Linked DNA regions of Bombyx mori. The protein of the gene in region 5 purifies or fractionates together with the protein of the main gene of each other region. This does not show direct contact. Links are inferred from orthologs where the notes say so. Each region holds a gene or a part of one and is shown on either strand. Other genes may lie near its edges.

Evidence for each region.
Region 1: the proteins of chromatin assembly factor 1 p55 subunit (region 5) and chromatin assembly factor 1 subunit B purify together in Drosophila melanogaster (affinity purification with western blotting; 3 studies listed by BioGRID, with this or other methods). This does not show direct contact. The link is inferred for Bombyx mori from reciprocal best matches to the Drosophila melanogaster genes Caf1-55 and Caf1-105.
Region 2: the proteins of chromatin assembly factor 1 p55 subunit (region 5) and chromodomain-helicase-DNA-binding protein Mi-2 homolog purify together in Drosophila melanogaster (affinity purification with western blotting; 4 studies listed by BioGRID, with this or other methods). This does not show direct contact. The link is inferred for Bombyx mori from reciprocal best matches to the Drosophila melanogaster genes Caf1-55 and Mi-2.
Region 3: the proteins of chromatin assembly factor 1 p55 subunit (region 5) and chromatin-remodeling complex ATPase chain Iswi purify together in Drosophila melanogaster (affinity purification with western blotting; 5 studies listed by BioGRID, with this or other methods). This does not show direct contact. The link is inferred for Bombyx mori from reciprocal best matches to the Drosophila melanogaster genes Caf1-55 and Iswi.
Region 4: the proteins of chromatin assembly factor 1 p55 subunit (region 5) and metastasis-associated protein MTA3 purify together in Drosophila melanogaster (affinity purification with western blotting; 4 studies listed by BioGRID, with this or other methods). This does not show direct contact. The link is inferred for Bombyx mori from reciprocal best matches to the Drosophila melanogaster genes Caf1-55 and MTA1-like.
Region 6: the proteins of chromatin assembly factor 1 p55 subunit (region 5) and chromatin assembly factor 1 subunit A purify together in Drosophila melanogaster (affinity purification with western blotting; 3 studies listed by BioGRID, with this or other methods). This does not show direct contact. The link is inferred for Bombyx mori from reciprocal best matches to the Drosophila melanogaster genes Caf1-55 and Caf1-180.

What each region holds. Positions count from the first base shown.
Region 1 is NC_085118.1:947,866-952,303, reverse strand, and holds the start of chromatin assembly factor 1 subunit B, read right to left. Parts: upstream 2,828-4,438; 5' UTR 2,656-2,827; coding exon 2,527-2,655; intron 2,391-2,526; coding exon 2,163-2,390; intron 1,677-2,162; coding exon 1,468-1,676; intron 1,117-1,467; coding exon 850-1,116; intron 476-849; coding exon 263-475; intron 1-262. Other genes in the region: RpL36A (ribosomal protein L36A), read left to right, coding at 4,342-4,344.
Region 2 is NC_085116.1:13,711,280-13,715,533, forward strand, and holds the start of chromodomain-helicase-DNA-binding protein Mi-2 homolog, read right to left. Parts: upstream 2,820-4,254; 5' UTR 2,442-2,819; coding exon 2,405-2,441; intron 1,992-2,404; coding exon 1,921-1,991; intron 812-1,920; coding exon 689-811; intron 227-688; coding exon 82-226; intron 1-81. UniProt on the Drosophila melanogaster protein: ATP-dependent chromatin-remodeling factor which acts in nucleosome-remodeling by catalyzing ATP-dependent nucleosome mobilization. Involved in regulating transcription. Plays a vital role in development.
Region 3 is NC_085119.1:7,657,689-7,662,033, reverse strand, and holds the start of chromatin-remodeling complex ATPase chain Iswi, read right to left. Parts: upstream 2,875-4,345; 5' UTR 2,679-2,874; intron 2,575-2,678; 5' UTR 2,443-2,574; coding exon 2,392-2,442; intron 2,283-2,391; coding exon 2,059-2,282; intron 1,878-2,058; coding exon 1,620-1,877; intron 1-1,619.
Region 4 is NC_085131.1:3,871,218-3,874,917, forward strand, and holds part of metastasis-associated protein MTA3, read left to right. Parts: intron 1-405; coding exon 406-519; intron 520-2,303; coding exon 2,304-2,461; intron 2,462-3,320; coding exon 3,321-3,427; intron 3,428-3,700.
Region 5 is NC_085109.1:4,082,580-4,085,764, forward strand, and holds part of chromatin assembly factor 1 p55 subunit, read left to right. Parts: coding exon 1-158; intron 159-672; coding exon 673-790; intron 791-1,053; coding exon 1,054-1,184; intron 1,185-1,518; coding exon 1,519-1,696; intron 1,697-2,297; coding exon 2,298-2,390; 3' UTR 2,391-3,185. UniProt on the Drosophila melanogaster protein: Core histone-binding subunit that may target chromatin assembly factors, chromatin remodeling factors and histone deacetylases to their histone substrates in a manner that is regulated by nucleosomal DNA.
Region 6 is NC_085127.1:6,282,067-6,286,411, forward strand, and holds the start of chromatin assembly factor 1 subunit A, read right to left. Parts: upstream 2,863-4,345; 5' UTR 2,665-2,862; coding exon 1,663-2,664; intron 985-1,662; coding exon 777-984; intron 339-776; coding exon 1-338. Other genes in the region: uncharacterized protein LOC101735561, read left to right, coding at 3,727-3,754, 4,286-4,345.

The DNA.
Region 1 (4,438 bases), on a different chromosome or scaffold from region 5:
TCTAAGTTTCTCCAGTTGGTAAATTTGCGACTCCTTTTTGGCTAAGATCCATTCTCATGGGAGTTCACATGCCTCAATCGGTCGAGCAGAAATTTTCTTTAATTTTACAAAACTATATCACTAGTACATCATGGATGTAATGTTATGAACTTGATATGTTGAGCATTTAATAAAAAAAATATTATTGGTATCTATCTGTCAAGATTAAACCACTATTACTAATAATTTTTTGTTATTTTGTATTATCAAGATAGTTGGTTACCTAGTGTAATGTACATTGGCAACTATGGCTATGGGAGTCTTCTGTTGTGTGTCGTACACCAACACGGAGCGCCTGGTCCCCACGGCCAGCACGTGCCGGGCTCCGCTCGGGGACGGCAGGCGAGGCGCGGGCCCGGCGGCGCGGGGGCGGAACCCTATCGGCGACCAGCGGGTCACCAGGGCTGGCTCGCCGCATGGTACCACACACACTGGGCTGTAACGGACAGTTATATGAGTGCCTCTCATGCAACATGCTGCAAGTGAAGATGCAACCATGAGCCTTGGTTAAATAAATTTTTGCATTATAGATGAGTGGAAGCTATTAGCTGCTATTATTTATTTAAACTAGATAAAGAAATCTTGAACTGAAAGTCAACTGAGTTCTCCAATTGCAACATATCACATGCCATACAAATAAATCTGATATTTTCTATCAGCAGAATAAAACTGTTGAGCTTGAACATTTTTAAAACAACCTTATCATGCAATTGTGTGCAATTTCAAATCTGGAAACCGTATTGAAAGCAAAAAGTTAGCTTGTCACATCTGAGTCTATGGATTCTGAAAACAATGAATTAAAATACTCACATTTTCAAACAATATCTCGTATAGATATACACGGCATTGATTGGTTTTACATCAGGTTTTCCCTCTGGCTCCACTCTCCCTGCTGGAACTGCAATGTATAGGCCGTCCGGGCTGAACTGCAGTCGTCGGTAATATGTTTGGAGTGTGTCATCATGGTATAGCCGTTGTCTGGAGCCGTGGAGAGGATGGTCAGTGGGGAACGGGAGAGATGCTTTGCTGCTTCTTGATACAACCTTCTTGGTAGATACATCAAATGCTCGAAACACTCTGTTGATATGAACTATTTACATTACATTTTCAAGTCTTTTATAATATTGAATGAATAATCAATTAATCAAATTAGGATTCCCTCTACTATGAGAAACAAAAACTCATATGAACATATTAATATAGATTTAAACACCTAGATGCAAATTGCCCAAAGCAGGCATCAAGCCAACAATCCTGTCTAGCAGTCAAGGGTGCTAACTTTGTTATTCCAATCATCACCTTTTTGATATTTTCATCAGGTATAGAAGCTACTTTTTTACAACTAATTTGATATCATTAATATTTGTAACTACTTATGATGAGATTACTCTGTTAAATTATTGTTTTAAATTATTATTTTCAGCTTACCTGTCTGTACTCGTAGATGTTATGTACTGTCCTTTAGGATCCCAACAGACACCTTGCACAAACCCTTTGTGGTCACTAAGTATAGTAGTGTAACGAGCTCTGTGTATGTCCCAAACAATTAATTTGTTATCTACTGAGCCAGAAGCCAACTGTAAGCCGTCCATACTCCAGGATATGTCAAGGACATCTTCCATGTGCCCTCGAAGAGTCTGTTTTGTGGAATAATTCTTACCATTACTCTTTATAAATTTGAAATAATTATGCTATTCATGTAAACATGACAATTACTGCATATTAATTGTATTTTAATTCTGTTTTTGTTCAGTACTTTTGACTGACTGTAATTAGGTTAGCTTTTTAAAAGATGAAGAATCAGCCACCACATTTCAAAATAGCCACATGTTTAGGTAAAATGTGTACGTTTAAGATATTTGTTACAAAAATACTATTGCAAAATGAAAATCAGGGTTTCTGGGCTTTCTTTGGTTTAATGCATTTTTAATGACATTTTGAAAACAGAATACCTATAAGTTTTTAATAGCAAACCAAGAGTGAAATTTTGTAAAAAAAAAAGAAAGTGTATACTTGGTATTGGTTGGTATGTAACTGAAAAGAGATGAGGCTAAGAACAATTGGGCATTACGTGGAATATGTATAGCCAGATTATATCTAGTAGATAATGAAGAAAATCTCACCTTATAAACAACCCAAGTTTCTTTATATTGCTCCTCACCCTCAGTTGCCGGAGAAAGTTCTTCCAGTTTCTGCTTCCAAATGAATATGATGGACTCATCATCCCCAGAAGCCAATAACTGTCCATTAGGTGACCATCTCACTACATTCACAGCTTTCTGATGCCTTGTTAAATCAGCTGCTACTTCAAGATGAACTGAACCCGTCTCCGTGGTTGATAAATACCAGATCTAGTATTAAAAAAATATAGACTTTATATCCTACTTTAGTATTAAATTCAATTTTTTTTCAATAACATTAGTATAAATAATCGCTGATAAAAATATAAATGATTATTTGTTCGTTCTTATTAAAAGATAGTTTTACCAAAACGTGTGAATCTGTTCCACCGCTGGCGAGTCGTAACGGGTCATTCGGTTCCGCTTTGGGCTGAAAATCTACACTTAGAACTGGATCACGATTATGCCAGGATATTTCTGGTATCGCAAACTTCATTTTTTTCTAATATTTAAAATTTAATAGAAATGGTAAACGAAGTAATAATATAAATTTAAATCCAAATAAGATAAGATGTATTTCAATCAATTTCTACAATAATTGTTAGGAAGCTAGCTTATTTTTACTGTTTATAGTTATTTGGCGCCAAAACAAAAGTGTCAAATTGAAGTTTTACCTAGCGGTAGTCCCATTTTTTCAACTGGAAAAGCGAAGGTATCGTACCGTACACCCCAATATTCTGTAAAATCTGTTTTATGAAAAATTTAATGGAGCAAAATGAAATGAAGTTGATGAATTTTAGATATTATTATTAATCAATTAAAATGAAATTAAAACGAGATTGTACGGGATGAAATATAGTCTAAGTATTTGATTTTTTACTGAGACTTTTTCGTTGAGAGAAGTAACATAAATTGTTTTTAATCTACACGAAACTAGATGAATTGGAATTACACAAAACGAAGTAAGATGATGAAGGTGTTTAAAAGTTAAACGTATAAAGACCTTTCATGTAGGGTATATTTAATTAAATATTCTTATTCACTATGGTTTTTATGTTAATGTCACAATCAGTTTTATAAAGGCTTTTAGATAACTATCTATCTTTTAGGTTTATGGCGTTTCCTTTTAGATTTCGCCAATGTCAAGTGTATTTAATACTCTGCTTTCTATAGCGGGCACCGTGATTTTTTTTTTATGATAAAAAAAATCTTCTCTCCACATTCTGTCACTGTCATCTGTCTTTCTTCCTTTTCTTCTTCAACTGCCTCCAAGTAGACCTTTTCAGTCGTCATAAATTTGTAAGAGTACGCTAATGTCGAATAAAATGTTTTCAGGTTCATCCAAAAGGTCCAGTAAGCTGTCATAAAATTTCTACGATTTCCCTTAGAGGTTATTCTTAGAACTGGCCTTACTATTTGTAACCATCATAAGTTTATTAAAAAAGAATAGTTGTTGCCTAACAACAAGTAGTTAGTTGTGTTGTTTCATGTAAAAATAAAAAGTCAGTATATACATCCGAAGATTATATTTTATTTTTTAACACAATTACCACAGTTATATCATTAGCCTGCCCGCTAATTTTCTCTCTGCTTCTGTTCAGTGGGCTGCGATTCCGATCCGGTGGTAGATACAACAAAGCACCGCTCTTGCTCGGCCCACTGGTAGCAAATCCTTTCAGGTTCGGCTCCGTGAGATTACCTACTAAGCGTGCGTTAAATAACGCATTAGACTATCGCTGCCGACGATTATGTAAATAAAAAAGCCAGTGATGCCATTTAATTTATTATTAAGTGTCACTATAACAAGGCTGGGCTAAGCCAGATCTCGGAAATAAGTTAAATCAATAAAATTTAGTTGATTTAATATTTAACTAAACATTTAAATGTGTTGGACGGTTAAATTTGAGGGGACTTGGGTTATGTAGGTGAGGGGCTATTTAAAAAACACTCTGCTTCATGATTAATATAATTATAATGCAAATACTTTGAACACTGTTACACCATTATAATATTTTATTTTTATAAAACTCCTAGATGTTGCTCTGACCGTGACAATTAACATGGGCTATGCTTACTTTGCCTGTTTAAATCAAACAAAAAAATGTCAAAGTGTCAAGTGTCATTGCTGGATTAAAGTATCTCTCTTTGACGTTTGTTGATATCGTGCCGAACGAACTCAAAAATGGTTGGTGAATTTGTAAAATAATATCGTATTTAATCGCGAGCAACGCAATAATTAATATTGAAATAAGGCTCTAAATTCAGCCGGGATGTGTTGG
Region 2 (4,254 bases), on a different chromosome or scaffold from region 5:
AACACTCATGCAAGTTAGTAGGTACTTGGAATTCCATATTCAAGAGATAAAAAAAATGTTTAATAAAAAACATACACATACCAGAGCCAGAGTCTGATGCTGTAGTTGTGGATGGTGTGTTGTGTTTGCTACTTCGACCTTTACGGGATTTCTTGCTTGAAGAGACAGCGCTCAGTGCATAATCACTGTCACCTTCTGCTTCCATCTCGAGGCCAAAATCATCATCCTGTTCCATCGAAAATTTTAAAAAAATTGTCTTTTTTTACTGCCGTATAGGCAGACGAGCATATAAGGCCCACCTGATGGTGAGTGGTTACCGTCGTTCATGGACGTCAGCAATGGCAGTGGCAGAGCCAAGCCGCTGCCTACCGTTAGACAATAAGACTGATAGACAATAAGATTATCATAAATAATAAATCTTCAAATATTCAAATATTAACATAACTATTTTATATACTTGATACTTGGCGGTCTCATTTGATGGTAATTACTAATTAAGTTAATGTAAAGCATACATGCCTTTTTTTTACTCTACTATTCAAATATTAAAAAAAAATTAAGATAAGCTCTAGAAATCTAGAAATGAGTAGCAACATACAATTTTTCAACAATACAGTTAATAAAAAATTTACTTCTGCGTTTAGAATGTAGGTACATGATTCTATGATAAAATACATTGTGAACTTACATCTTCACTTTCATTCTTTCGCTTCTTCTTTTTCTTTCTTCCCTTTTTTTCTTCTCCTCTGGCTTTCCTTTTCTTTCCCTTTTTCTTTTTTCTACCATCTTCAGGGGAATAATCTTCATCTTCCTATAGTTTGAATTTTTGTGTGTTATATTAAGAAATGCTCATATTTATTGAATAATTATTGGTCATTTATTCCCTTTCTACTTTGGGTAACTGGATTGATTTTGATAGTTTGCTAATTTTCATTTAAATGATTTATGAAGTTTATAAATATATTTTATAAATTATTTAATTATATGATAATTATTCTCGAAAATACATTACACACTAGGGTATCTGAAAATAAGCCATAAGTATTTTCAGCTCAAAATCTGGGATCTGATACTTAAAAATAATTATCAGCCAGATTGACATAACTAATTACATGATATTTTTTTTACTATTATTTTTAAACTTGAAATACAGGAATATGTAGGGAAATGCTCTAAAAGCTCATACAGTAATAGACTAATGCCTTGATGTTGAAAAAACATTACATTCATTAGCCAATCTAAGTCATTGATACCTGTTATTTTGAGTAGTGTGGGATTGATTGAATGATGTGATACATACATACATAAATAGTATTAGTAAATGGTATGAGCAGTCTATTTTTACAGTACAATAAAGCAATCCACTATTCACCACAGTTAACTGTTAAATTTTTTAACCAACTCACAACCTGCAAAAAATTGATACTGGCAGTCATATGTTATTGATATTTTTCTGAAAGTGTTTTATTTTTTATTTTTTGTTTGGTTGAATAATAAAATGTGTTTACATTAAATTAAATTCTATTAAAAGACATGTTATACATGTCGTGAAAATTGGCCTTTTTAAGGTTGAAATTTTAGAACAAAAATGTTCTGAGTCCTCATAGTTTAGAGTTTACCAGTCCTTACTAACACCAAACCTTAACATGTTAAGTATCCATTACAAATTAACGGCTTGTCTAGCCTGCAAGCCTGAACATATAGTTAGAACATATAAAGTATAAACAGCATGATGACACTAACTCATTTCAAATATGGTAACTCATTTCAAATATGGTAACCCATTTCAAGTTGGAATTATGGGTAGAGCTCTTGGTTTATTATGATGAAAATGATGATCATAAATAAGATGAGGGCAAAGTATACAAGTATGAAATAAAACTTTTCTATTTCACTAAAATTTTGTTAGGAAAGTGTTACCTTTGGTGGAGCCTCGTCACTATCTCCGGAATTGTCATTTTGACCCTCACCTTCCTCTACTTCCTCATCACCTGCAAGACAACAACAGTGGTCAAACCAGTCTTAACATCAAACACACCTGCCAATGTCTGGGTGAACACTGTTTATCTTGTATCTAACCACATTTTCACACACCTCGCGCTAAGGTCACTAATCCCTTTGTTTGGCGGCGTCCATTTTGTTAAGTAGTAATGAGGGGATATCGCATGTTCTTTTCTGTCACAAACTGCCACTCAAAAATATTTACAATCGCATCACAACAATTAGGTCATTCCGATGACAACCAATGGTTTCTTCGTTCCAATATTAACCGGAAAGAAGACCATTCTTAGGGAATCGTCAAGTTCAAAATAAAAAAATTAAATTTTTAATTGCACCGCAAGTAAACACATGATACCGCTATTCGCGGCTTACCTATGACATGCTAGCTAAACTAAACCATTACCTGCAAAAGAGCCGTCCACTTCCTCATCTGATGCCATTTAGATTACTATCAAACACAACTTGGAATAAGATGATAGATTTTTGGCTAGAAAAGATAAAGGACGCGCAGTTTTTGCGACAAATGGTAATTAATTCAGAAATTGATGCCGCCGTCACTTCTCGACGAGCCAGCAACACTCACTATCTCTTTTACACTTGAAGTTTGAAAGAAGAAAAATAAAAAACTGCAATGTTACCATACATTTGCAACGGAGACTAAAAATTTTAAATTAGGGCACAAATTGTAATTTCTCTCCCTAAATTATGTAATTTGCTCTTTTGATTTATTTACAGCCACCGGAAAATGTAATGTTCAAATAAAATTTAAAAAGCATATTTTCTTTCGCAATCGAAGTCTCTCAAGCTTGTGTTGCACATTTATAGGACGACTAGTAGCAATCATTTAAGTTGTTTAAGCAAAGGGACTATAGCCACGGACATCGAGCGGGGATGTGATACGCTAAAAAAATTAAACAACATTTCGAAAGAAATCATAGGAAACCGAGACTGAAAAGAGAAAAGTCAAATGCTTAAAATTAATAGCGTACTCGTGGTATCAGTAAGGTACAAGATAATCATAAACCACAAAATTTTGTAGTTTTTATATTTAACACACTGCTTCCATTCACATTACATTACGTAACGCATTTACTGATTGATAAGTAAATAAACAACAGATAAAACACCAAGAAAACAATAATCAGACCTATGAAATTTTTGCAGCGGTCTGTATAGAGCCGGCAGTCCCGTTCTCATTTCCCTAATCTTGGTAATACAGTACACTAATGTCAAAAGTTTCGTGTCAAAAAATTTGGAGCACCTTGTAGGTACTTATTAACTCCATGGGAGCACCATAGAGTTGGCAGCATAGAAAGAGAACTGTCTTATGCGGCTCTGTAAATTTGGCCCCCCTTTTTTGATTTTAGGATTTTTTTTATTATAATTTGTTTTAATTTTTTGGTTTGATTTTGTGTGCTGAAAATAGTCTGTATTTTTATTTTAATTTTTTTTATTTTATTATGTATACACTGTGTATTGGCTGGCGGGTGGTGCAGAGAAATCATCTTTTTGTTTTTTTGTTTTTGAACTCATTGCATTTACTTTAAGTTATCAATAACTTTTATAAAATTTGTTTTCTATACTTATACTTTTACTTTAATATTATAAAGAGGAAAGATTTGTTTGTTTGTTTGTTTCGAATAGGCTCCGAAACTACTGGACCGATTTGAAAAATTCTTTTTCCATTAGAAGCCGACATTGTCCCTGATGATCATAGGCTACTTTTTTTTATTTATTTTTTATTTATTTTTTTTGGTTTCATGGGTGTTTTAATGTTTCCGAAGCGAAGCGAGGGCGGGTCGCTAGTCTATCTATAAGATAATAGTATATATTTAAATTGTGCATTGTATTTGTATTGCATTGATTAATTATTTATGAGTAGTTCATGTGACGACCTTTATCTTTCTGCCAATGAATCTCTTTCTTCTGTTTCTTCGTTAAATGAGGATAGTTTTTGTTCAGTATCTGGTACTCTTGGTGACTGTGTACGACGATGTTTTAGCGAAAATTCGGGCCTACTAAATTTATGTCACATTAATGCGCAAAGTGTGCCCAGTCATTAAAGTGAAATTCTGGAAAGTTTTGATAATGTTGACGTTCATGCTGATATCCGAGAGCTGGCTAAAGCCTCATCTTCTTTCCACTAGTTATCCTCTTCCTGGTTTCGATTTGATTCGGAATGATCGTGTTGATAGGAGAGGCGGCGGCGTTGCTATCTACCTTCGCAGTGTTTTTTCTTATAAAATCCTCGAC
Region 3 (4,345 bases), on a different chromosome or scaffold from region 5:
AAACAACACTGTTACAACACACCCACTGTTAAAACCAAATTTCCTAATAAAAATTGTCATCTTACCTGCCAGTACAGGTAAGATGACATTACTTGACATGAGTAAGCTGTACATATCTCTTATCCTTTAGAACATGATGATGGTGTTGCCTTTGTCATGAAATCCACTCCAGAATGTGGGTTAGGGACTTACTTTACTTTATTTACTTTAAGAAGCATTGATAACTGCCTGCAGTATTTTAACAATTTCACCATGCAGATCATTGCAAATACACTGGGTACATTTTCTTATTGGCCACAGGCACTTCAAAGCTTGGTGAAAATCATATACTTTACACTGACAATAAATTTATAATTTAAAAATCTACTTTCAATCTTTTATGGCTTTAGTGCCCAACTAAAAATCTTACTCAGAATCATAGGTAGCTTTATACATATGATTCTGAGTAGATGTACACTGGGGATCCCAAAATATTGGGATACTAATATTGTTTTCTTCTGATAGGACCTCTTGTGAGTCCGCATGGGTAGGTACCACCACCCTGCATATTTTTGCCGTGAAGCAGTAATGCGTTTCTGCTTGAAGGGTAGGGTAGCCGTTGTAACTACTCTGAGACCTTAGAACTTATATCTCAAGGTGGGCGGCGCATTTACGTTGTAGATGTCTATGGCCTCCAGTAACCACTTAACACCAGGTGGGCTGTGAGCTTGTCCACTCGTCTAAGCAATAAATAAAAAAATAAAAATACTTTGACACTTAACATGTTTTCAGTTCATGAGAAAATTATCTAAACAAAAAATTGATTAATCAGCAAAACAGTAATCCCAACTGGTGCAACAGTTCTTCCAATGGGCTCAAGATACATGTCATGGAACTGCCCATGCAACTAAAGCTTCACTGTGGCAGACACTAAGACTCATCATTAATCATGGTCTGCATTGCATAGCATACCCTACCAAGTGATTTTGATAGTCTCTAGACTGTTGGTACAGATACTTTATACAAAAAAGTTTAGGATTTCAATAATTAAAAAAAAACACGTCCAGACTTTTTTACTACTTAACCTGTCCTAAGACTAGTTATTACTATCACAAAGCCATAATCACACCTTTAACTTACATAATACAACCTAGGCAATAAATGATAACATAACTTACTATTGTACTGTTTGAATACAAAGCAGAAGTAAAGTTGTTACACTTGATTGCTATCAAACTTTTTATTTTTTTGTGTATTGGGTACACAGGCACTTAAATTGGAAATCCCATAAATATATTGAACTGTTTGCATATATTTTATAACACACTGAACATTACATATGAGTCGTCTATTATCAAAGGCGGCAATCTGTACATTTGGACAAAAAAAATTTATTGATATGTCAATACAGATTTATTTGAATATAATCGTCTCCTTCAAAGAATACGGTTCAAAACCTGCATTAAATAATGGTTAATAGTTAACCTGTTATTTATCTAAGATGTCGTTCCGAAGAGTTTTGTGACTGCCAATGGAATACAAAGTCAATAATTCGTTTTTCTGATTTACCAATCATTGTCCAAAAGTCAGATTGCCGCCTTTGATAATAGTCGACTCATATGTAACAATTTTGAACTTACTTAAAATGTTTCATATATCCAAGTAGAGAAATTGTTTGCAAAGTTTTTCCTAGACCCATTTCATCAGCCAAAATTCCATTAATACCATTTTCATACAATGATATCATCCAGTTAAGCCCTCTAACTTGATAATCCCGCATTTCTCCATTTTTTATGTAATGTGGAGATGCTTCAAATCTAAATATTGTCTTTTGTTTTGAATTTGTTTCTGCCAGAAGTTCTTCATCTTCTTCTTGCTCAGTTTTTCTATGTCTGTGACTGACACATGAAAAAAAAAGTTTTGAAATCTTATTAATCTATCTTTCAACAGCATTCAGTGGACATAATACTATTTATATTTTTTCACCATACTTGTATAATTTGTCAAGTAGATTTTACATTATTGATACACAGATGTTATAGTTTGTCACAAGTAATACTTTGTAATATTGATACTCACTCTCCAGGACCTTCAGGTTCAGTATCTATTTTTATCTTTCTGGGTCTGCCAGCCTTTGGTTTTGGAGGACTCCCACCAGATTTTGGAGTGTTGGTCATAAAATGAGAAAATATCTCCGTTTGCTTTAGTAGAAAATCGAATCTCTTGGAACGATCAGTTTCAATCTTACTCTCGAAATCACCTTCTTTCCCTCTTGAAGATGTCGTGTCACTTGAAGAGCCATTCTGAATTCATAAAATTGGGTGTGGTAATATTAGTCTGGATTCATTAAATGTTTTAGTTTAAGTAAAATTCAGTTAGTTAGTTTATTAATAAAAAAATTAAACTACTCACGGAATTGTCGCCAATATCGGCAACGTCCATGGCATCATCCGACTGGGCCATTTTTATTTACAGTTAAAACAATATTGAACTAGATGACCAAGATTGCGAAGTTAGAAAATATATTCAAATAAACCAGAAACCAGCAATTGTACACTGGTTGAACAACTTAGTTATAAATTGACTGCATGAAGGCTGAAAACATACGAACATTACAAACTAGATACTTCGAAGATTAAAGTATGTATGAAAACCAAAGAAGAACACTTTCAACTTGTTGGAACTCAATAAATTCTTACATTTTGTAGTACAATGTATACCTATTGACTGAATTGTTTAAATATTGTTCACAATTGAAGATTAATGTAATTACATTACACTACAACCGGGCGCGAAAATCGCAAACTGACAAAAGCAAAAAATTATCACAGAGTGTCACAAACACTATAGCTAATTATTTAGGCAAAGGACACCTTTAAAAGTGTTTGACAGCCTGAATTTTAGTCTTTTAAGCCAAATCTTGATGTGTTCTAAAGGCCAAATCTTTTTTCTAATGGACAAAAAGTATAAATAGACCGGAATGCGATGATGATGAGTTATTGGAAGATGATTATGAACGTAATTAAATGCAACGGAATCGAATAATATGAGGGGAAAATATTTTTTGTTTAAATGTGACAAAAAAAAAACACGTGTAGCACTCGGGGACTGCCACGATAAAGCTATTTGCACAGCATTTTTTATCAACTTATCCAATTATAATTAGACAATAATAATTTAATATTAAAACAATAATAAAATAAGACCACGCTATATTTATAAACATTAACAAAAGCAAAACATTAGGTAACTGTCCCCTTCACACTCATATAAGGGCTACATAGACCGCGCGAGAGAGAGATGGGCAGACTTTTCATGATGCGCATGCAGTGCGACGTCGCGCCGCGCGTTTATTCACAAACACTACACAAGCGCAACGTGTGAATGTTTGAGCTACATCGTAGACTGAGTGAGGGTTGTTAGATTTTATTTTCCTTACGGAATTTCTTAATTCAGTCGCCGCGCTCAAAGTCCACGATAAAAGCTATGCAATAGCTTAATACAAACCAAACAAAAAAATCTAAACACGTTAAATGCAGTCTTAAGTTTGTGAACTTACACGTTAAATGGCTAATAAGCCACAATTAATACACACTTAAATCCAAAGAATATGTAAGTATGTAAATTAAAATTCTAAATAAATTCACACCTCGCGTTCCCGCTTTTTACATTTCCGATCCTGCGGACCAAATGGTAAACAGTCAACGTCGCCCAAAATATGTCATTTCAGATCCTCCCGATCCCCTAACGGCACTTTTAGGTACCCCAAGCACCAGTCATCGTTCTCGTCGATCGGTCGCTTGTGACGAAAGGCTCGGCAAGCGGTTCGTGTTAGCAACAGCTTCAGGTTTAAGCCCCGCGAGCTCACTTAATAGTTCAGTGAATCTAGAATAACCCCTCGAGGTTACTAGAACAGGCAGAAAAAAGGTAATACCAAAGCGTGAGACGTCTTCGCTCTAAGGGGGAAGGGTGCCTTGGTGTAGGAGTGATCCGAGCGCGGAGGCTCTAATCTCAGCGGTCCATGCTGGAGGCACAATCTCGTCGTTTGATGAACCGTCCGCATCGTCGAAGCGGTGCGCCCGGTTCTCACGGACTGTGTGGGCCGCGACCGCGGACGTCTCACCTTTCGGCTGACGCAGATGCTTACCAGCCACTGATGTTCCACGCGCCCCCTAGGCGCGGGGACCTCGTAGAAGGCTAGGCCACAGGCCAGAAAAAAAAAGCGTGAGACGAGAGAGCCTGTGAGTGTGAAGTGTGCACTGAAGTATATAGGTCTATGGAAGTGTGTGTGAAGTAGGTACCTACTGTGAAGTGCGAATATGACATTTGACATGACTTTTTGGCGGGAACGCGAGGAGTGAAGTTG
Region 4 (3,700 bases), on a different chromosome or scaffold from region 5:
TCCAACCCTCCAATACATCTTTAACATAACTTGCCTTTAACTAAAATTAACAGCGTATATGGATACGCTGCGTTACTTAATGAATAAATAACACCTTTCCTCAAAGAATTTAAGAATCACTACGAAAAACCGTGGTACTATTTGCCAAATTCAAATGATTATTAATGAAATGTTTTTTATGATTAAATTGATTTTTTTTTGTAGTCGTTGGCTCTTTGGAAGATCTGTGTCATAGTGCCTTCAACGCACGACATTGTATCATATTTACCTAAGCAAAGTTTCAGTAGTAATTTATAAAATCGGTTAGTGAGATTTACGTTTACGTCATATAAAATCTAATAAAAGGTAGTCTAGAGTCTAAAGTAGTTTAGAAGTGAGGTCGTGACGCGTGCGTGTGCGTTACAGACGGCAGCCTGCTGTACGAGCGCGTGCTGTCCCGCGGCGAGCTGGAGGCGCGCCGGGCCGAGCCCGCGCCGCCGCTCAAGCGCCGCGCCTACGACGACATCAACGGACTCGACAGTCAGTACCGCCCCGCACTCGATCACTTACCACCCGCATAAAACACGTTGACTGCCGTGTAGGTCATCGGTGCCCTACGCGGCGCATTGAAGTAATTTTTTTTTACAAGCGGCTCGCTCCGGCTCCGCTCTGATCTTTAACAAAAATTTCAACGATATTTGACGTTGTTTTATTCTTAAAAATAAAATAACACTTATTGCGGCATAACTAGTAACTAATAGTTAGACATATGCAGTCGCGACACTTTTTTGTAAATAATAATGTTTTCTACAAAGTCGTAGTACATCAATAGTTTTCGCAGGGCACGCGATGGAACATTTTAGGTAATATTTTTACACCTTGGGTAACATTATTGGAGTTTTAGTAAGGATCCATTTTTTTTCTTTCAAAAAATACTATAGCCTATGTCACTCGGGAATAGTTTAGCTTCCAAACAGTGAAAAAATTTTTCAAATCGATTCAGTAGTTTCGAAGCCTACTCAATACAAACAAACAAATCTTTCCTCTTTATAATATTAGTATAGATTGCCCTTGTAGGCAGACAACCATACGGCCCATCTGATGGTGAGTGGTTACCGTCGCCCATGGAATTCAGCATTGCCAGGGGTGCCTACCGTTAAGTACTCTCTCCACAAGCCTCGTTTGAAGAAGGATATGTCATAGCGCTCGGGAGACACCGTGGAGGGAAGCTCATGGTTTATCGATTATATCGATTTCTCTCTTCGATCACCTTACTAATACACGGAATATATAGTATACTGAAAAAAAAACCGGTAGATACTCAGAATGAATTCTCTATTTCTAAGAGACTTAAAAGACTAAAACATACATTAACAAACAAAAGAACTTAGTAGAACTTAGTAACAGAATTCGATATAATTACTTCAGTGCGCCGCGTAGGGCACCAATGACCTACATGGCAGTCAACGTGTTAACTTATATTCAAACGACCAACGAATTATATCATATAAAAAAAGATTTAATATTTTCGCAAGTTAATTAAGCTTTTAATTAAATAGATAATATTGTATTTAGAACAATGAGTAATAAATGTATAATTTGTTAAATGCTTACCTTTACGGAAACAGCAACAACACCAGGTTAGTAAATGAGAATTATAAAAATAAATAAATGTGGGGAAAAAGTAAATGTTATGAATTTCATAAGTTTATGGAAAATGTAGTGTGAGGTCTTTGGTGTTGTGAGGGTTTGTGTGCGTTGGTCGAGTTGTCCTCCGGAAATCTCGTCACAGTGGTCAATAAAACACTGAGTATGTTTATGTTATTCGCATCAGCGACCGCGTCGGATCGCTGCCCGTTAACCACTGACGTGTATAGCTTATTACTATTACTTTTACTGCATTGTAGGCTTAAGCGGGGCGGAGTATCACTCCCCAACACTAGGAAACAAAACTATCAAAACGTTATGTGACTGCATAGCTAAGGAATCACAATACCCTTGAGCTTTAATTGTTTCGGAAACCATAGGAAAAGTCCTTTCAAAAACCTTCCATTTCGTAAAGTCAAAATCTCAAAAGATCATTCTGGCCCAGAATGTCACATAGGAGATTTCAAATTTGCAACAACGATGTGTGATTTGTTAAATTTATATTTTTTATTTTTTTATTGTCCCTGTAGGCAGCCGAGCATACGGCCCACCTGAATGGTTACCGTCACCCATGGACTTCACCTACCGTTGAATGTTCGTACTGTACCTTCGACAGTTGAATGTTTTCCATTGTTCTTGTTACAATTGTACATATATGTATGATGCGGTTGTCGCAGGAGTGGGCGAGCGGTCGCGCGAGACGCTGGCGCCGCCCGCCAAGCGCCCCAACAAGCACCCGGCGCCCATGCAGCGGCCCTCGCGCGAGCAGTACGCCGCCATGTGCGCGCGCGCGCAGGCCACCGGACAGCCGCTGCCGCCGCACGTCTTCGCGCACGTACGTACCGCTCACTCTCCTCACTCCTACTCATGCGAACCACTGCTCTTGCTAGCCCTAGTATATATTTTATAAGGAATTTTATGACCTGGTAACTAAGACCTTTAAGTCATGTCTTATTTTAATTTATATTCTTAATTTTATTAAAAATGATAATATGGAGTGAAATGAAATGAAATGAAAATGATTAATTTGGGAGATTAATGAACTGGGATGAAATTAAATAAAACGAAATGACAGGGGATGAAATATAATCTCAGTAAAATAGTGGTATTTTACTGAGATTTTTCAGTGGACTTTTTGGAGGATCCCGAGAAGTTACGTCCAGCAGCTTTGTTTCATTTTCCCACATTTGTGCACAGATATCAAACAGTTAATAAACCACCGTTATTACACATTTAAACCTGAAGAAACACTAAATAGACAAAATAAAACAAATCACACAACTTCACTCCTCGCGTTCCCGCCAAAAAGTTCGCTAAGGCTAGTGTTAGCAAGGCCCCTCAGATTGAGCGCCTTGAGCTCACCTGGAGCGTAGCTGGAATAGGCTCTTAAGCTACCAGCGAATAGGTACGAGAAAAATGCACTAATCGACTGAACTTTTTGTACCAGATAGTAACGATTCATCCCAATATACAATTTGTTTTATTATTCGCGAGTTACTAATTTAGCATGCCTAAATTAACGATTTCAATTAATAATTTAGAATATAGAAAAACATATTAGATTTGAATTATGTTGACCTTGTTTTCTAGAAGATTGTCCTGTAACTTATAACAACCGCTTTTAATATTAATAAAAAAAAATTTAATAATAAATAAAAAGATAGATTTGAGTTAATAATAAATGTACGTGTTAGGTAAATGGCAAACCGACAAACATCACAGGACGCGGCGGCCGCCGACACGTGATCTCGTGGATGGACGCTCCCGACGACCTATACTTCAGAGCCACCGATGCGGCCAAGTGAGTGCTTTCTAATGTTTAACCGTTGTACGTGCTCACCGAGCCTATAGGTACCGTGAGAATCGACATTATGTCATATACGACTCTAACAAAAACGAACGTAAAATGCTGCCAAGTAAAGGTATTAGAGGTAAAATAATGGTAATTGAAAGAAATAGAAGCTCTTTTAAGTTTCAGACCTAAAAATCCATCCTCATTTATTTAGTCAAAGTTTCGACTCAATGTTACATGGCAATGTTACATTTTACTAAGAATGTACCTAAGACGTGAGAC
Region 5 (3,185 bases):
GACATCAACGCGACGCCAAAGGAGGGGCGGGTCATCGAAGCGAAGTCCGTGTTCACCGGCCACACGGCCGTCGTCGAGGACGTCGCGTGGCACTTGCTACACGAGTCGCTCTTCGGATCCGTGGCTGACGACCAGAAACTGATGATATGGGACACCAGGTAACACCAACAACTAACTTTTTGAGGTTCTTTTTTATTGCCCCTTGTAGGCAGACGAGCATACGGCCCACCTGATGGTGAGTGGTTACTGTCGCTCACGAACGTCGGCAACGCGTGGGGCAGAGCCCAGCCACAGCCTACCATTTGAAAAGTTACAATTGTAAATATAAAACATTATAAATGAGACAAGATCAAGACATACTGATTATGTAATTGTGAATTGTACAATACTTATTAACTAAGAGACCTATTTAAGACAATCATGATAATAAAATCATTAGTTTGAATATGAAAGTGCTTTTCCTATCATGGCATGATAACACAAACAGGAGGTTGTTTTCACATATTTCTGCAGATAACTTGTATTTGGTATTGACCTTCATTACTTGTTAATAATTACCTTTAATTATTTTTTTATGATATAATGACACATTTCGTTTAAGTGTAATAATGAGGTATGCATATATGGTAGTAATAATTAGTAAAATAGAGCACAATTATGTTGTAATTACAGATGTAATAATACATCGAAACCATCTCACACAGTGGACGCACACACCGCTGAAGTTAACTGCCTCAGTTTCAATCCCTATTCAGAGTTCATTCTTGCTACTGGCAGTGCGGATAAAACGGTAATGTTACTAATTTTAATTCAAATATACACATCTAACAAGTCAAAACTTCCATAGCGTTTTGCTTATTATTTAATTGTAATATTTATATATCAATTTTTTGTAATTTAACGAAACTTGTGTTCACAAGCTTTGAATTCAATCAGCTCATGATACACTGAAAAATGAAACTACAGTTTTAATATCATAATAAACTAAATAATAAATAGCCTATCCTTAATAATAGGTTAACTACTATAACTATAAATATAATTTCCGTCTAGGTTGCGCTTTGGGATCTACGCAATTTGAAATTAAAGCTACACTCGTTCGAGTCGCACAAAGACGAAATATTCCAAGTACAATGGTCGCCACACAACGAAACTATTCTCGCGAGCAGTGGTACCGACCGAAGGTAAAATTACAGATAATTGAATTTTCAAACTTTTTGTTACATCTTGTGTACAGACAAGAACTCTCAAAATAATAGTATTAAACGGTAGGTAAAATAAAATCAACACCCATAAAAAAAACAGATATGGAATTGAAGTTGCAAAGTAAATATAAAAGCTCAGACTTCTTGTGGGCTTACAGCCACTTTTTGGGCTGATTTTAAAAATCGTAAACATGTACATCTAATTTTTACGCTTTAAATTTGGGAAAATGCACAATACTCAAGAACTGGGTTTGCTGATTGCTGTACGAGACAATAATTATTATGAAAGTTACTTCATTACTTGTTTTTTTAGACTCCATGTATGGGACTTGTCAAAGATTGGCGAGGAACAGACAGCTGAAGATGCAGAAGATGGACCCCCAGAATTATTGTTCATACATGGAGGACACACCGCTAAGATATCTGACTTCTCATGGAACCCTAATGAACCATGGGTCATCTGTTCCGTCTCTGAGGATAACATTATGCAGGTATGCTAAAATTATAGGTTGAATGTTTTTAGCTTAGATAGGCACCTTTTGGGAGAAAGCTGTCAGAAAACATTAATATTATAGTTGATCTTAATGCATAAAATATAATTGCTTTGCTAAAATATAATTTCTCCCTAGCACATAATTATTTATTGGTGTTAGAACTTCTTGTGAGTACACGTGGGTAGGCACCACCACCCTGCCTATTTCTGCCGTGAAGCAGTAATGCGTTTCGGTTTGAAGGGTGGGACAGCCGTTGTAACTATACTGAGACCTTAGAACTTGTATCTTAAAGTGGGTGACGCATTTACTTTGTAGAGCTCGTCCACATATATATGCCATAAAAAAAAAAAAAAAAACTACAAATCTAGGCTATTTGATAAATATTTCGGCACATCATCTCGGATCCTTCTAACAGTGCTTTTAGGTACCCCAAGCACCGGTCATCGTTCTTGTCGAACCCGTCGCTTGCGACTCACTGAGTTTCTCGCCGGATCTTTTCAGTCGCGGTTCAGACTTGGTGGTAGCTTCTTAGAATAGGTAGAAAAAAAATATATATTTGGTATTTGTTGTACATTGATTCGGTGCGGTATCTGTACAGGTGTGGCAGATGGCTGAGAACATCTACAACGACGAGGAGCCGGAGACGCCGGCGTCGGAGTTAGAGTCGGCCGTCAACGTCAACCACGGCTAGTCGTCCTGTCTGTACGACTCATGTGCTCTGTGGAGAGTGTGAAATAACAACATTGTTTAACATTCACTTTTTAATCGTTAATCTGTGAGATAACTCTGCTACAACCGAACAATAATGGGGTACAAGTTTTCGGAACTGTTCTTAGTTCTATAGAATTTTTATCATGTAAACGTTATACAAAACACTAAAATCTTGTTGGAAAAAATGACATTTATTAAAATGCTTTGTAAATATCATTATGAAATTTAACTAACTAATGATCTGCTATTCTAGCTAATTATCTGAGTTTTTTCGAAATATTACAAACAGCATTTTTTACTTCTAATTGAAATTACCACAAAATTTTATATTTTCAATATTTAAATGCAAAAAGTTGTCCCGTTTTTCATACTTTTCAAACTATTTGACAGTAAACAGTATATTAAACATACAAGTATAGATGTAGTGAGAAACTATTTTCCTTCGGGAAAACTCTTGATCTTTATCGGAATACGATGACACCCGAACTGTCAATGAATGATCGTATTAAATGAGTGACATTTTCATATCCATTAATAAGGAACTTTATTGTTTAGTCTCAAATGTCAAAATGACATTGTATAATATAGAGATGCTGCAACCATAACAATTATTACTTAAAACAGGATATTTACTAGGGTATTATACGAAATGAATTCCCGATATTTTTAAGTAATAATTGTTATGTTCGGGATGTGTGGACATAAGTTTCGTCAGTATTATACACAATATCTGCCTTCAGATCTATACTTCCTTATTAAGTCTACGTACTTTACT
Region 6 (4,345 bases), on a different chromosome or scaffold from region 5:
AAAATTGTCCAACTGATGTCTCTTATCATCACTCAATTCAGCTCTAGTTGTAGGTGCTAATCTCATGTCTAATTTTAAAGTAAAACTAGATAGCATATTATTTTTACTGATTGAACCAACTGTGGCTTGGTCTTTATCCGACTTTTGTTTTGGAACAAAAAAATTGACAAATGCTTCAACAGTCTTTTTCTTTTTGAGTTCTTGTTCTTGTTTTTCTAATTCTAAAGCCTCTTGTTTTTTTCTCTTCTCTTCCTCCTTTGCCTCTTTTTCCTTTCTTTTCTGTTCTTCTTTCTCTTCTTTTTCTTTCCTTTTCTGCTCCTCTTTTTCATCCCTTATTTCTGGAAGTTAATTATATAAATGAATTGCTGTTCGTTAGTCTCGCTAAAACTTGAGAATGGCTGGATCGATTTGGCTAATTTTGATTTTGAATTATTCGTGGAAGTCCAGAGAAGGTTTAAAAGGTGAATAAATATGAAAATGCTCAGAATTATATAAGAACAAACAATTTTGTTTTTCCTTTGATGTGTCCCCCGTGGGACAGATTCTTTTTGTTTGTTTTAAGTTTATTTTATACAAAAGTTTAGGTCTTTTATTTATCAATTGAGGTCTGTCACTACGAAGTCTGCTGGGTCAGCTAGTAATGAATAAAGATATAAATATACCTCATTTTTGTATAAACTTTACTAATGTTCAAAAACGAATAAGTAACTCAAAACATGGACTTTGACCCTTTGATGTGATTTGATAATGTGTCTTAGATTATATTTTATATTTACTTTTTTCAAGCTCTTTTTGTTTTTCTTTCTCTTCCTTTTCTTTTCGCCTCTGTTCCTCTTTTTCCTCCTTTTCCTTTTTTCTCATATCTTCTTTCTCTTGTTTTTGTCTGGCTCTCTCATCTTTCTCTTGCTGTCTTTTTTTCTCCCTTTCCTGTTTTTCTTTCTCTCTCTCTTCTTTCTTTTTGGCAGATTCTAATTTTTTCTGTAACTGTTATGGAAAAAGGATATAATAATGTTCTACACAGTATAAATGCAAGTCTAGATAATTTAAAGGATAAGACCTATGTACAGGTCTATTTGGGTATAACGTAAATTAAGTAAGTAAAAATAAACAAAATTCGCATGATTTTGTTCATTTCCAATTTATAAACATTTATATCACTGTATAACTGGATAATGTTCACTATTATATCTATTGGCCTCTGAAACCACTCAACATCGATTGAACCTTGCACTTGTCTACCCATCTAGAGAAATAAAAATAATATTAAATTATATACAATGATAATTAAATATTACTCTAGATGCAACAATATGTTTGTTAGTGTGTTTTTCTTTCACAACAAACATTTTTATGAGACATTTTCGGGTTTCAGTGACAGACTAAAAATAAATAAAAAATTATATTTCAGCTTTACATGAAATTTAGTCCTAAAGAAAAAACAAATACAATGAGACTATGTGTTGAAACAAATTATTAAGGCAAGCAGCAGAGAAACAGGGTATGGTCATAAGCTAAACTAATAATTATCAAGTAAGACAATTTTTTATCTTAATTGTAGAAGTTTCTCCCTCATCTATGACTCAATACATCAAGCTTATAATGCAGTAACATAATATTAAAAAGATATAAAGGTTTGTTATTTTAATTCAGTTTCAAACTTACTTGTTTAGGTGTTAAATTCTTTCTACCAGACATAGAGTCATTCAAAGATTCATCAGCCTGACTGTTTGTTACTGATGAACTCCTGCTATGTTTTGGTGATGTAGGATCTGAAGAGAGAGATTCATTCAAACTGGATACTGGAGACTTCTTAGCATCGTTACTTTGAGCTATTCTTGTTGCACTCCGGCTGCTCCTTTTTGGTGTTACATTATTCTCTTTTTGAATTTCAGCTGAAGCTTTTTCAGCAATCTTGTCTCTATCATCAGAAGCTTCTTCTAGTTCATCTGAAGATATACTTTCTCTATCTTTTTCATTCCTTTTTTTTAATGGATTCTCTTTTTGTGACTTTTGGTATTCAGCAGACTTTTCAATTTGTTCAATTTTATTAGATTTAGATTCTCTTGGAGATTTCCGGCCATTTGCTTTTGGCTCAATATCAGCTTCTAGTTTCATTTTAGTATCAAATTGATCACTAGAGTCCTCCAATATAACAATTTCGTTATCTGTAACTCTTGAAGTACTGTTACTTAAAATTGTCATGTCTACATTTTTTTCTGGACTATCCACTGGTTCATCAACATTCATTTTATCTTCATCGCTCTTTTCATCTGTGTCATTCTGATCATTTTTGGGTAGGTCTGTTGAATTCTTTTTTTTTATTTGCTTTCTTTTGGCACTGTTCAATTTTTGTTTTTTCTTCCAAGCAACATCAACCAATTTAACGTACGGGTTTACAATTTTGTCATCGCTTAACATTTTTTTCGAGTCTTTACTTTCATCGTCGCTTATTATGACCAGCTCTTGAACATCATTTTCTTTCGATATTTTTCCTATTTTTGTAACTGTTTCGGTATCAGAATTCGAAAGCTTTCTTTTCCTAGTCGGCGGCGACTTGGGTTTAGGGGAAATATCACTTATTAGTTTGAAAGGAAGACGAGCTTGTTTTAGCTTTTTTTTCGATGGAGTCACATCAGTTTCATCGAGGGGTTTGTTTGCTTTCATTTTATAAAGTTTATTAACCAACAAATCACAACATGAACCACTATAATTTGAATTTATTAACAATTTAATAGTTGTACTTATCTTTATAATATTTCAATAGTTTTAATTACACATTCTACTCAACTATGTATTCAACAACACGATGAACTTTTGACAGCTGATGAAATACGCGGGAGTTCTAAACACGTTCTAAAACCTGAATCACAGTTTTATTTTATCATAAACACTATGATGTAAGATCGGAAAGTTTTACTTTGTTATTCCTTAAGTTTGATATCCAAACCATGATTAAACTCTTTTACTCTCAGAGATAAGCTGGTTTTGTTCTGGTGATTTAAGGACGAAGATATAATATTCAATTTCTTAAATTAAGTATTACTTTCTGTTTTAGGTAAATACCTATAGTTTTTTAACGCACTTAGTGATTTTTTATTTTTAAAATTCGTCCGATCCACAGGCAAAGAAGTCATAGTCCATACAGCTAAATCTTTTACAAAAACCCTTACGTCTGTTGTAGGAAAAGTTAAATGCAACGGAATTTAGTGTTGGTCAAGTGCGGAATTCGTTTTATAGGTCAGGAAAGTTAGACATAATAATATGTATTCTGAATGGACCATTAGAGAATAAAAAAATTATAAGCTCGAAGCTCGTGTCTATGAAGTAATCTTTGTTTTTTTATTGCGTAGGTGAGTGGACGAGCTCACAGCCCACTTGGTGTTAAGTGGTTACTAGAGCCCATAGACATCTATAACGTAAATGCGCCACCCACCTAGAGATATAAATTCTAAAGTCTCAGTATAGTTACAACGTTTACCCCACCCTTCAACCGAAACGCATTACTGCTTCACGGCAGAAATAAGCGGGGTGGTGGTACCTACCCGTGCGGACTCACGAAAGGTCCTACCACCAGTAAAAAAGAAATCTCGTATTAAATATGTAGCTCTTTAGCAAAGGGCAAGCTCTGAATATTTCTATTACGGGAGTTCCGAAATTTAAACGTCATGTAAAAGTCAGTGAATAGGTAGGTACTAATTACGAGAAAGTAAAAATGAAAAATTTGAAATGCTCAACTCCGGACGTAATAGCGGAGGTAACGTTTAAAGACTTAGAGGATTAAATACCTAATATATCATTCATAATGATTGATTAATTTTTTTTTTTTTATTAAGAGACTAGCGCCAACTGCTGCCTCCGCGATGGAGTTTCAGGTTTTTTATAATTCATACATCAAAACAATTGAAATAAAAGTAGTAAATAATTGACGTATGATTTATATGATTAATTATTTATGTTTACTTTGATTGGCATCACCGCATAAACAAACTTTCATTAATTTTATAAATCTGGCATATAAACCAGTAAAAGTTTTGCCTGTAGATTGATTGATTTACAGTGTAAGATATGTCTAAGCCAAAGTGGGATTTCAGAGACATCTCTAAAGGGCTTAAAATTTTTCGTGATATCTTGTTAGGTCGAAAACACAATCTTCACGGACGATTTCCTCCTCTTATGTCCCCGAGGTCTGTACCTACGCCAGAAATACCTCGTGGCCCGGATAACCAGTATTCCAAGCAGTATTATTATAAACGAAGCGCAATAAATTCTGTGTTTCCACCAATAGTGGCACCTGTAGCGGAAGGTCCGCCCATGAACCAAGATCCAACAAAGAAAGCACAGCCCG